Oryctolagus cuniculus: one gene and its partners. The protein of the gene in region 1 interacts with the protein of each later gene in a pairwise test. Links are inferred from orthologs where the notes say so. Each region holds a gene or a part of one and is shown in the gene's direction. Other genes may lie near its edges.

What was found. The genes of interacting proteins can lie anywhere in the genome.
Region 2: the proteins of ZBTB43 (region 1) and SYT6 interact in binary tests that used the Homo sapiens proteins (3 or more experiments, as listed by UniProt). The two-hybrid records come from large-scale screens. The link is inferred for Oryctolagus cuniculus from reciprocal best matches to the Homo sapiens genes ZBTB43 and SYT6.
Region 3: the proteins of ZBTB43 (region 1) and MORF4L2 interact in binary tests that used the Homo sapiens proteins (3 or more experiments, as listed by UniProt). The two-hybrid records come from large-scale screens. The link is inferred for Oryctolagus cuniculus from reciprocal best matches to the Homo sapiens genes ZBTB43 and MORF4L2.

The regions. Positions count from the first base shown.
Region 1 is NC_091432.1:230,445,588-230,449,660, forward strand, and holds the start of ZBTB43 (zinc finger and BTB domain-containing protein 43), read left to right. Parts: upstream 1-1,266; 5' UTR 1,267-1,406; intron 1,407-2,145; exon of another isoform or gene 2,146-2,473; intron 2,474-3,375; exon of another isoform or gene 3,376-3,687; intron 3,688-3,845; exon of another isoform or gene 3,846-4,073. UniProt on the Homo sapiens protein: May be involved in transcriptional regulation.
Region 2 is NC_091438.1:56,227,838-56,231,355, forward strand, and holds part of SYT6 (synaptotagmin-6), read left to right. Parts: intron 1-317; coding exon 318-876; intron 877-3,518.
Region 3 is NC_091453.1:89,784,648-89,788,003, forward strand, and holds the end of MORF4L2 (mortality factor 4-like protein 2), read left to right. Parts: 5' UTR 1-64; intron 65-1,283; 5' UTR 1,284-1,307; coding exon 1,308-2,174; 3' UTR 2,175-2,853; downstream 2,854-3,356. UniProt on the Homo sapiens protein: Component of the NuA4 histone acetyltransferase complex which is involved in transcriptional activation of select genes principally by acetylation of nucleosomal histone H4 and H2A.

The DNA.
Region 1 (4,073 bases):
AGTTGATTTGTTGTACTCAAGAAAATCCCTGGGGGTAAGCAGTCCAAAGATGGAGCCTGCGGCCTAACGTCCCGGCCGCCAGGCTCTCTCCGTCTGCTTGTTTTGCCGGTCACTTCCTAGCCACAGGACAGCAGCTGAACGTCCACACTTCAGACCCGCTTAGAGGCAGAAAGAAGACAAAGTGGCAAAGCCCTTTAGGAGTATTCCCAACTAGAAGTCTTAGTGGATTTTGCAAAAACTTTTTTCCCAGCATTCCCACTCAATGACTTCTACGTTTATTGGCAAGATGTTGGTCACAAGCCCAATTTCGAAGAGTGAGGTTAGATCAGACGTCTTGGGTCAGTTCTGAGACTTGCCAAGTCCAGCTCCCCTGAGATCAAGGGACCGCTGCTGGGATCTGAACAGAAACGAGTGGAGTGGTTTTGTTTGTTTTTGTTTTTAGGGAGTCCAAGAGGGAGGAAAGACACTAGCACGCCCTGTCTGTGGGGCTTTGTTGGAGGAAGTGGTGTGTGCTCCAGCTGGGCTGAGGGGAAGGATGGAGCGTAGACCCTGCGAGCAGAATCTTCGGCAGCGGTTCTGTGCCCACCCCCACTTCTGCGGCTTCGTCTCCCCGAAGTTCCTGATAGAACTCTCCGGGATAGTCCCAGTCTCCTCTTGGAACACTCAAGAAGCAAGCGGACCAGGTGGGAAACCCCGCACTCGGCGCTAAGACACACACGGTCCTCCCGGGCGAGCCTGGCCGGGGAGGGGCATCCACCCTACGCCCAGGGCCCCTCTGGCCGGACCCCTGCAGCTGCCTGGATTTCGGGTTGGTGCGCGTTCAAGTGAGCTCCCTGGTCTCCAAGCAGCTCCGAAGGTCGCGGAAGGAAAGGCAGGAAGAGAGGGGGGCAGGGTCGCGGCGGACGGGAGAGCCGGAGGCAGTGCAGGTTCTCTGGTGCCCCCATCTCTGACCCTGGCGCCCAGCCAATGCGGCCACCCAGAGGGCACTGGCTGTCACGGACCCCTTCTAAGCGTCCACTATGTGTCAAACAGCGGGATGGGCGTTGCTGAAGCAGACACGGATTTTGACATCGTCTCTGCCAGGTCAACTATCGGCTCTCCAATGCCTGTCAGCGAACCTCAAACTTGACGGACCGGCTCCCGACACCACTGCGCAGGCGCCGGCTGTCTCGGAGCCCTCTCTCCTACGCCCCGCCCATGAACGTGCGTCCCGCATGCGCATTAGAGTTCTCTCGCGGCCGCACTCCCGGAAGTACTGGCAGTTTCGGGGGCGGGACCGGGAAGCGTTTCCGGGGGCGGGAGGCGCAGGCTGAGGCTGTTGCGGCTGCGACCGCTTGAACAGGCCTGGCGCCGGCGGCGGCGGGAGCTCCTTTGGGTCTGGGATGTGAGCGCGGAGCCCTTGGCAGGTACGGCGGCGTCGGGACAACTGGGCGCGAGGATGCGGGGAAGGAAAGCCGGGGAGGGGGCTGAGGGCTCCTCGCAGGCCGGGGCGCGCGCGTTGCGGGTGCCCCCGGGCCCGTTCGGTCGAGCGGGATGCTAAAGCCGCTGGCGGGCGTTCGGGATCCCCACGCTCCGGTCCGACCCCCGCGGTCTCCAGCCCTTCTGGCGCACAGACCGCGACACCTGGGGCCCCGGGGCAGCCTCCGGTCCAAGGTCACCCCGCGGCAGCGGGGCTCGGCGGGCCGGAGCGCTTGGAGATCCCGCCCCCGTCCGTCCGCCGGCTTTTCGGGGCGCGGGGTGGGCGCGGCTTGGCGCCACCGGCGCGCCCCGGGCCCGCAGAGCCGAGACCGGGAAGCAGGCTGCGGCCGGTCTCGGCTGGTCTCGGCCGGTGTCCTCCTCCCCTCGGTGCCGCACCTCGGTGGCTGTCTGTGTCACCTGTTGTCACCTGCGTCGCGCCGCGGCTTCCGTCAGTTTGCTCTTTCTGCCCGAGACCCCGAGTTTACTTGTGGCCTCCCCTTTGCCTCTGTGTCTCTGATCCGGCAGGACTTTTGTAGCTGTCCGCTTCTATCTCTCGGCCGATTCTGTGTCTGTCCCTCCCAGCCGGGACTGTCTGGGCAGGGCGGGGCGGGCCTGCCCGGACCTCTGAGCCACAGAAGGTGACTCATGACCCCGTGGGGCGCCCCGCGCGGGTGACACTCTCGGTGACTCGGCCGCCGGCTGGTCTGAGATCTGACAGGTGTCGCCGGGGCCGGAGCAGCCCGGGGGACCCTTGCCTCTTCTGGCCTGTGCGTTTTCAGGGCTGCACGGCTCTTGCCCGCTGACCCAGGCCCGTCTCCAGGCGGAGTCTTCTCCTGGGGGGCTCCCCGGCGGAGCTGCGGGTGTCGGGGTGCTCGAGACCCCCCGCGATGAGGGGCCCTTCGCCGCCGCACAGGGGATGAGATGCCAGCCGGACGCGCGCGGGCCGGCGCGGGTGGAGACCCCGGCGTGGAGTGCCTGGAGGGTCCCGGAGCCTCTGGGGAGGAGCCTGCGCTGAGTGCGGACAGGGTTTTTGTGGTGATGGCAAAGTTCTGGAAGTGGGTGGCGGTGGCGGAGGCGCCCCGGAATTGGACGTTTCGGGAGGGTGAAGCCGCGTGTGGTGCTCAAGTGGGACTTGAAGGGAACCTGTCCCGTAGCTGTCGGGGGAGCGTCTCTCTCTCTCTCTCTCTCTCTCTCTCTCTCTCTCTCTCTCTCTCTCTCTCTCTCTCTCTCTCGGTGTTCTCCACAGCCGGGGGTACAGCCGAGGGCCTCGGGAGAGGAGTGTGGTTGAGTTAATTTGGTTAAATTGTGCTCGAGTTTCCTACTTACACAGCAGATTCCTGCCCCGGCTCTCCCACTCCACCTGCCGTGGGACCAGGGAGGAATCTGCTTCCTAAGCAGGAAATCCGAGAACGATTTTACTTTCACATGAAGACAAGGTTAGACAGACAGCCCTCCTGGTACGGCGCACAGGGTCGGAGGGGCAGCTGCTTTGTCTCTGTTTGGAGTCTTTCTGGCTGTCGCTTGCCCCAGGATAGCTGGTCAGGCGCTCTTGCTGTGAGTGTCAGTGCTGTGTAGAGTTCCGTGTCACCAGGAGGGACACCGCCAGTTAAGCTGGGGCATAATGCTTTCTTGTCGTTTGGACTTCCATTCTTATCGAAAACACTTTTAGGTGTACATGGGCATTTAAAAATCAATGCATATTGCAAATCAACTCACATGTGAAAGGGGTAAAAAGTAAATGGCTGAAGTGTTCCTGAAGCTTTCCCACATTCCGGTGCTCCTCTTCGGAGCGCTTTCAGTTCCGAGTGTGTCGTGGTTCTTCCACACAGCTTCTTCCTTTGTGCCACTGAAAACATTCGCAACTCTCACAGGAGTGCCTTTTCCTTGTCAGGCGGTGACAACTCTTTTTTTTGACAGGCAGAGTTAGACAGTGAGAGAGAGAGACAGAGAGAAAGGTCTTCCTTCTGTTGGTTCACCTCCCAAGTGGCCGCTGCGGCCAGCGCTTCTCCTGGTCTCCCATGCAGGTGCAGGGCCCAAGCACTTGGGCCATCCTCCACTGCACTCCCAGGCCACAGCAGAGAGCTGGCCTGGAAGAGGGGCAACCGGGACAGAATCCGGCACCTCAACCGGGACTAGAACCCGGGGTGCCGGCGCCGCAGGTGGAGGATTAGCCTAGTGAGCCGCGGCGCCAGCCAGGCAGTGACAACTATTAACACTGCTATTCGGCAAGTGCGTCCTGATTTCAGAAATTTTAAAGTGTATGTCTTTATGTCAGTTCAGTATGTTCTATCTTATTTTCTTTTATTTTTTTATTTTTGAGAGACAGAGAGCGAGGGCACCCATCCCCTGGTTCACTCAAATTCCCACAGTAGCTGGGGCTGGGCCAGGGCCACCTGAGACCAGGAGCAGGGGATTCAGTGTGGGTCTCCCACGTGGGTGCAGGACCCAGTTACTTGAGTCCTTACCTGCGGCCTCCCGGGGCCTTGTTTTGGGCCTTGTTTTGGGCTTCTTATCCCGCGTCCTGCACACGGGGCGCAGCCGAGAACTTCTTGGCTCTGCTGAAATGTAAGGGGAAAGCTGACTGCCGGCGGAGGGCGCTGAGTGCCTGAGCAGAC
Region 2 (3,518 bases), on another chromosome or scaffold:
GAGAGCCCATGGAGGGTGAGGAAGGGTGGCCCATCTCCCAAGGGAGTGCATGGTTCAGAGAAGGGAACAGAGTGCCGTCTGCGAGGAGAGAACCCTGGGAAGCAGATATCAGAGAAGCAGGGAGAGTGATTGCGATAGCAATGGCCAACATTTGCTGAGCTTAATATAGACCTGGCGCCGCTCCAGCTGCTTGTGCACCAAGTGTGTGCAGAGGACACGTGGGGTCAGCAAGAGGGAGAGGGTGCTCCACGTGGGGCAGAGGGAGCCAGGTCCGCCCTGACCACACACGCGCTCTTTGCCCCTCCTGTCGCCGCCAGGCACACGTCTTTCAAGCGCCACCTGCCGCGGCAGATGCACGTCTCCAGCGTGGACTACGGCAGTGAGCTGCCGCCGGCGGCCGAGCAGCCCACCAGCATCGGCCGCATCAAGCCCGAGCTCTACAAGCAGAAGTCGGTGGACGGGGACGAGGCCAAGTCCGGGGCAGCCAAGAGCTGCGGGAAGATCAACTTCAGCCTCCGCTACGACTACGAGAGTGAGACCCTGATCGTGCGCATCCTGAAGGCCTTTGACCTCCCTGCCAAGGACTTCTGCGGAAGCTCTGACCCTTACGTCAAGATCTACCTCCTGCCTGACCGCAAATGCAAGCTGCAGACCCGGGTGCACCGCAAGACCCTGAACCCCACCTTCGACGAGAACTTCCACTTCCCCGTGCCCTACGAGGAGCTGGCCGACCGCAAGCTGCATCTCAGCGTCTTTGACTTTGACCGCTTCTCCCGCCACGACATGATCGGGGAGGTCATCCTGGACAACCTCTTTGAAGCCTCCGACCTGTCCCGGGAGACCTCCATCTGGAGGGACATCCAGTACGCCACGAGTGTGAGTACAGCGCTGCTCAATGGGCTGCTCTAGGATGAGCAGCTCTGGGCCGGGCGGGACACGTCCCCTACCCCCCTCACCGCCTCCAGACACAGGGTGTGAAACTGTCCATGGCCCGCCCACCCTGGGGCGGTCCTTGCTCTCTCCCCAGGTTGGGGTGGGAGCCAGTAGCACCCTCGGAGGCAGGGGAAGGGAAGGAATTTTTGTCTGTTGCTTCTCATCGCACCTTCCAGGGTGGGTCTCTCTACCTGCGGGACCCAAGGTTTGGCAACTCTAAAACATGTGCTATGTCCCCTATGATCATGGGTGACTGCTGGGCCAGGCCACAGACTGAGTGTCTGCTGAGTGTATTGGTATGTATTAGAAGCTTGGGATAAGCAGCAAGAGTGGGCTGTGTTAATCAGACTGTACTTCAGCAAGAAGCAATCTCAGGATTTTGTGGCTTCAGATAACCAAGGTCTGTTTCTCATTCACGTCACACGTTCTTTGCAGCGTAGCTGGGGGCTCAGCTTGACCTTGTTGCCCAGGGACCCGAGCCCACGGAGGCTCCAGCTCAGCTTGAGCTCCCGTAGTTAAACCTCAGGAGGAAGACGATGTGCAAATCATGCAGTATTTCTCAAAGCTTCCATGCACAAGTTCCATGTGTCACTTCCACTCACATTCCATTAGCCAGAGCAAAACACACGGCAACTCCTACTCTCAGAGAGGCAGAGGCAAAACACTCCTACCACACGCCCAGAAGGCAGAACTGCAGAACTGAATGAACGCACTAAGGACCACACACCGCTGAGTCCCTTGTCTTAGCACCGTATTCCCAGTGCTGTCTGGGTGTTGGGGGGGGGGGGGCGGGGGCGGGGGCGGGGCAGGCAGCCTGCAAGGAGACCTGGCTAATGCCCACACCAGAGGCAGATACTGGGCCATTCGCAGCCAGCTGGAGCTAACCGAGGCTTCAAGGTGCTGAGATTCACGTTGACTCACAAGGGAGGGCAGCTTTGGCACAGAGAACTAGAGGGGCACACCCGGAGCCCCCTGGGCTGGTGTGGACAGGGTACTCCATTCCACTGGCCTGAGGAGCTGTGTGGTGCATCCTGCAGGTGCAGCTGCTGTACCTCTCTCTGACCCGGGCGCTGAGAGCCCAGCAAGGGTGTTCCCACCAAGCACGTGGCCTCTCATCTGGTGTCCTGAGTGCTAACTGGCTGAGTGTCTCCCTGGATATTTTTATTTTAAGATTTATTTGAAAGTCAAGCAGCAGGAGGGGCTGAGGGTGGGGAGGGGTGGAGATCTGTCCACTGGTTCACTCTCCAAATGGCTGCAACAGTCAGGGCTGGTGAGCCAGGCTGGATCCAGGAGCCTGGAACTCCATTGGGGTCTCCCATATGAGTAACAGGGCCCCAAACACTTGGGCCATCTTCTGCTGCCTTCCCAGGCACATTAGCAGGGAGCTGGATCAGAAGTAGAGCAGCCAGTGCGGAAACAGCTCTCCAGTATGTGATGCTGGCATTGCAAGCGGCTTCACCCAGTGCACCACAACGCCAGCCCCTCTTTGCATATTTCTTGCACCATTATCTCTGAGGAGGGAGGATCCCAATCTGCCTGAGGCTCCTCCCTTCGGGCAGCTGATACTCAGTACGTCTGTGCAGAATGTCAGGAGAGAGGTTGGGAAACCCAGCCGCGCCGTGGTGGGTAGAGCGTACGCGCCTCGATTTCTTCAAGGAGAAACCTCGGCGGGCTCTGCTTCCAGGCAGTGTCTCCAGGACCCCATTCTCTGATGCTGACTTTGGCAAGTCCAGGCTGATGTCCCAGGGCCTCCTCACCTTTGCTTTCCTGAGATGCCACCCCCCGCCGCCCAGAACGGCGCAGGCAGCCAGGTGGCAGCCAGACGGGGCGGGCTGGAGCGGCAGCTGTGCACCAGCCCAGGCCCAGGAGCTGTGCCTATAAATCACGATCTGAAGCGCGCATCTGGTGCGGCTCTTCCCTGTGGTCTCCTAAGGCAGCAGCTTCATGGCGGGGACTGTGCAGGTGGAGAGAGGCAGCTCCATCCTCCTTACAGCGAGGCCACCGCCCCCGGGAGAGGATGAGGACGCAGGGCTGTGGGGGCAGAGCTCTGCCCGCCCCAGAGGCCCCCTCCCTCCCCTGTACCTTCGGCCCCAGCAGGAGTGCGAGCCTCAGGTGTGCAGGAACCTCTCCCCCAGATGGAGCTGCCCTGATCCTAGGGCTCTGTAGCTGTCCCTGACCTCGTCCCCAGACTGTCCCCATGTTCACTTCCTCAGGCAGTGCCACCAGAGTCCGCCTCCACCTCCTGCTCTTAAGGACGCCATGCCGGGCACTGGGGGTGAGGGCGGGACTGGGCTGGCAGAGAGGGGGACCATCCAGCAGGCCAGCGATGCCGGCCAAGTGCTCCTGCACACTGTGTGCACCAACACTGCCTGGGAAGGCCTGGACCAGGGCAGCTAACCCAGGTAGGGCAGGACTGGAACCGGGAACTTCCCAGGCCAAGAGGGAGGGAACCCCCCCCCCAATAGGAGCCCAGAAGCCCAGGCCTGGTGGTTCCCAGCTGCAGGGCTGGGGTGGCACCCGCACCCCTTGTCTTGCGTGCAGCCTGTCTGAGCTCTGTGTGCGGCCTCAGGTGAGTGCCCTGGGCC
Region 3 (3,356 bases), on another chromosome or scaffold:
TCAGAAGATCTGTAAAATCTGGGAACTCACTAGGCATTCTTGGAAAGGAAAGAAGGAAGATTGTGTAAGTGAAAAGAATTGTTTGACCTCTCATACCATAGGATTATTTTTGCATCCTTTCTAGCCCTCCCTTACTGTCGATTATTCCTGTCACTTCTTGAAATTCTCAACTTGGGCTTCCAAATTAAGTCTCCTAATTTTCCTATGACTGCTCTGGCCATTTGTTTCATTTGGCCTTTCTCTCTGCTCACCCCTTATATATCGCTTCCTCAGGTTTCCCAGATTTTATTCTGGTCTCCCTCATAGTGTCCATTGCCAGCTATATGATGATTACTCTCAGATTTCACTTCTAGTTCTGACTTCTCTCACCTAAGCTTTAAAATGCTATGTTGAAATGCACACCGCACATGCAAGAAGGCTGATACTGAACAACAATTTCTTCTCCTGCAGATGCAGTATTATTTTGTGATAATACTAATGACCTAATCACTTCTCAAAACCTGGGAGTCCTCACTGACTCCTCCCTCACCAACTTTCTACGCTCCCCCTCCCAACTAGTGATAACTGGAGATTTTGTTACATGCCATGTCTTGTCTGCTACCAAAGTATTCTGTGCCTATAAACCATCATGTACTAACCTTGTTTTATAATTGTCACTTTAGATGTTTGAATCCCTAACACCTACCATAGTGCCTATTTGGAAGCAAAAATACAGCAATAGAAGATGACAAACCAAATAGATGGATGGTTTACCTCCATTCTTTCATTTTTATTGCTGATTCCAAAGTAACACTTAAGTCTACTTTTGTTAACTCATTAGCTCCCCACATTTGACATTTCAGAGCCCCTTTGACTCCTGGTCTCCTTCAGCGTGTTGCTCAGTTTCTCTTTACTGTCATTGCCCTATTTCCGACCTACCTGGACCAAGACAAGAACCTTTCCAGTTGCTTGTTTTACTGTTGTTCATTTTGCCTCTCTTTGGCTAAATTGATGTTCCTGATTTCTTTTACATTGTCATTCCTTCTGTTCTTCTGTTCCAAAGTCTTGCATTTCAACTCCACTGCCTTTTATCATTTCTTTGTCATTTTAGTTCCTTCTTTAAAATTGCACACCTATACTTTTAGTGACATAAAAAAAAACTAGAGCAGTCTGAGGAATGCCTGGGTGGGATGACAGTAGTGGGTAGTAGGAGTTAGCATATGTTGTGGCCTAATGGGCCTTTATGAACCATAGTTAAAGATCACTGTAGAAAACAAACATGTAAAATACTTTATGTATTACAGTGGTTGGAATAAAAACAGGGTTGAATGAGTTCCAGAAAGCAGGGTTCTCAAACTCGTGGACAACAATCTGCGGAAGAAGACAACTTCAAAAAGCCAACTAGAGGCAACATGCAGAGAAGTAAGATGAGAGGCGCCTCCTCAGGAAAGAAGACAGCTGGCCAACAGCCGAAGAATGTTGAACAAGCTCTCCCAGGAAGATGGGGGGGTCGCTCGGCTGAGAACCCCCCTTCAGGATCTGTGAGGAAGACAAGGAAGAACAAGCAGAAGACTCCTGGGAATGGAGATGGCGGCAGTACCAGCGAAGCACCCCAGCCCCCTCGGAAGAAGAGGGCCCGGGCCGATCCCACTGTCGAAAGTGAGGATGCATTCAAGAATAGGATGGAAGTGAAGGTCAAGATCCCTGAAGAATTAAAACCATGGCTTGTTGAGGACTGGGACTTAGTAACCAGGCAGAAACAGCTCTTTCAACTCCCTGCCAAGAAGAATGTAGATGCTATTCTGGAAGAGTATGCCAATTGCAAGAAGTCACAGGGAAACATCGACAACAAAGAATATGCCGTCAATGAAGTTGTGGGAGGTATAAAAGAGTATTTCAATGTGATGTTGGGCACTCAGCTGCTCTATAAGTTTGAGAGGCCCCAGTATGCTGAAATCCTGTTGGCTCACCCTGATGCGCCGATGTCCCAGGTTTATGGAGCACCACACCTACTGAGATTATTTGTGAGAATTGGAGCAATGTTGGCTTATACGCCCCTTGATGAAAAGAGCCTTGCTCTATTGTTGGGCTATTTGCATGATTTCCTAAAATATCTGGCAAAGAATTCTGCTTCTCTGTTTACTGCCAGTGATTATAAAGTGGCTTCTGCTGAGTACCACCGCAAAGCCCTGTGAGGGTCTACTGACCACTCACCATTAATGTCTGGTATCTGTAAAACACTTTTTTTTTGTTCTTAGTCTTTTTCTTGTATAATTGATGTTCTTTAAAATTGTTAATGTATAACAGGGCTTATGTTTCAATTTGTTTTCTGTTCTATATTAAACAGAAAATAAAAGGAGTGCAAACTCCTTTTCTCATTTCAGAGTTGCTACCAGTGTATGCAGTAATTAGAAAAAGAAGAAAAATTCAGTAGAACATTTTATTGCATAGTTGACAACATTGCTTGAACGCTGGTGGTTCCATCCCTTTGACACTACACAATTTTCTAATCTGTGTTAATGCTATGTGATAAAAAAAAAAATGCCCTGATTCCTAGTGCCAAAGGTTCAACTTAATGTATATACCCGAAAACCCATGCATTTGTGCTCTTTTTTTTTTTTTATGGTGCTTGAAGTAAAAACCGCCCATCCTCTGCAAATCCATCTATGTTGTTCCTTAGGCATCCTATCTTTGCTCAAATTGTTGAAGGATGGTGATTTGTTTCATGGTTTTTGTATTTGAGTCTAATGCACGTTCTAACATGATAGAGGCAATGCATTATTGTGTAGCCACGGTTTTCTGGAGAAGTTGATATTTTAGGAATTGTATTTCAGATCTCAAATAAAAATTGTTTCTAAGTTTCAAAGCAAGAAATATGTGCTGTGCCTTTAATGTCACCAAAGCTGACAGACTCACCTTGCTCAGGAAAGATCTTGGTGGTATCACAGATCTGTGACTCCTAGATCGTTGACCAAGACTTCCCTGATTCCCCAACAGATGTCAAGTTCCTTCTCTTTAATCCTAGCATAGGGAATCCATGGAGATGTTCCATGGTATTGGATAGCTGTACTTGTAGGTTCATCTAAACATGAGAATTTCCTAGTCAAACCACATATTTTTCATGACTTTTTCAGATCAACTAGAAAAGTAACCATAACTATTGTAAAAATTTTAGAAAATACATTAAGAACAAATATGGAAATAAGAATCACATAAAATCCTATCAATTCAAGTCCCAGCCCCCTCCAAAAAAAAAAAAGACTCAGAATGGGTGGTTTGAAGAGTTTATTAATAAAGGATTTTTCCCCAAATTACCAATATAAGGACACAAATCATTAGGTACAGGCCCACCCCAGTGAGCTCGTTTTTAACTTAGC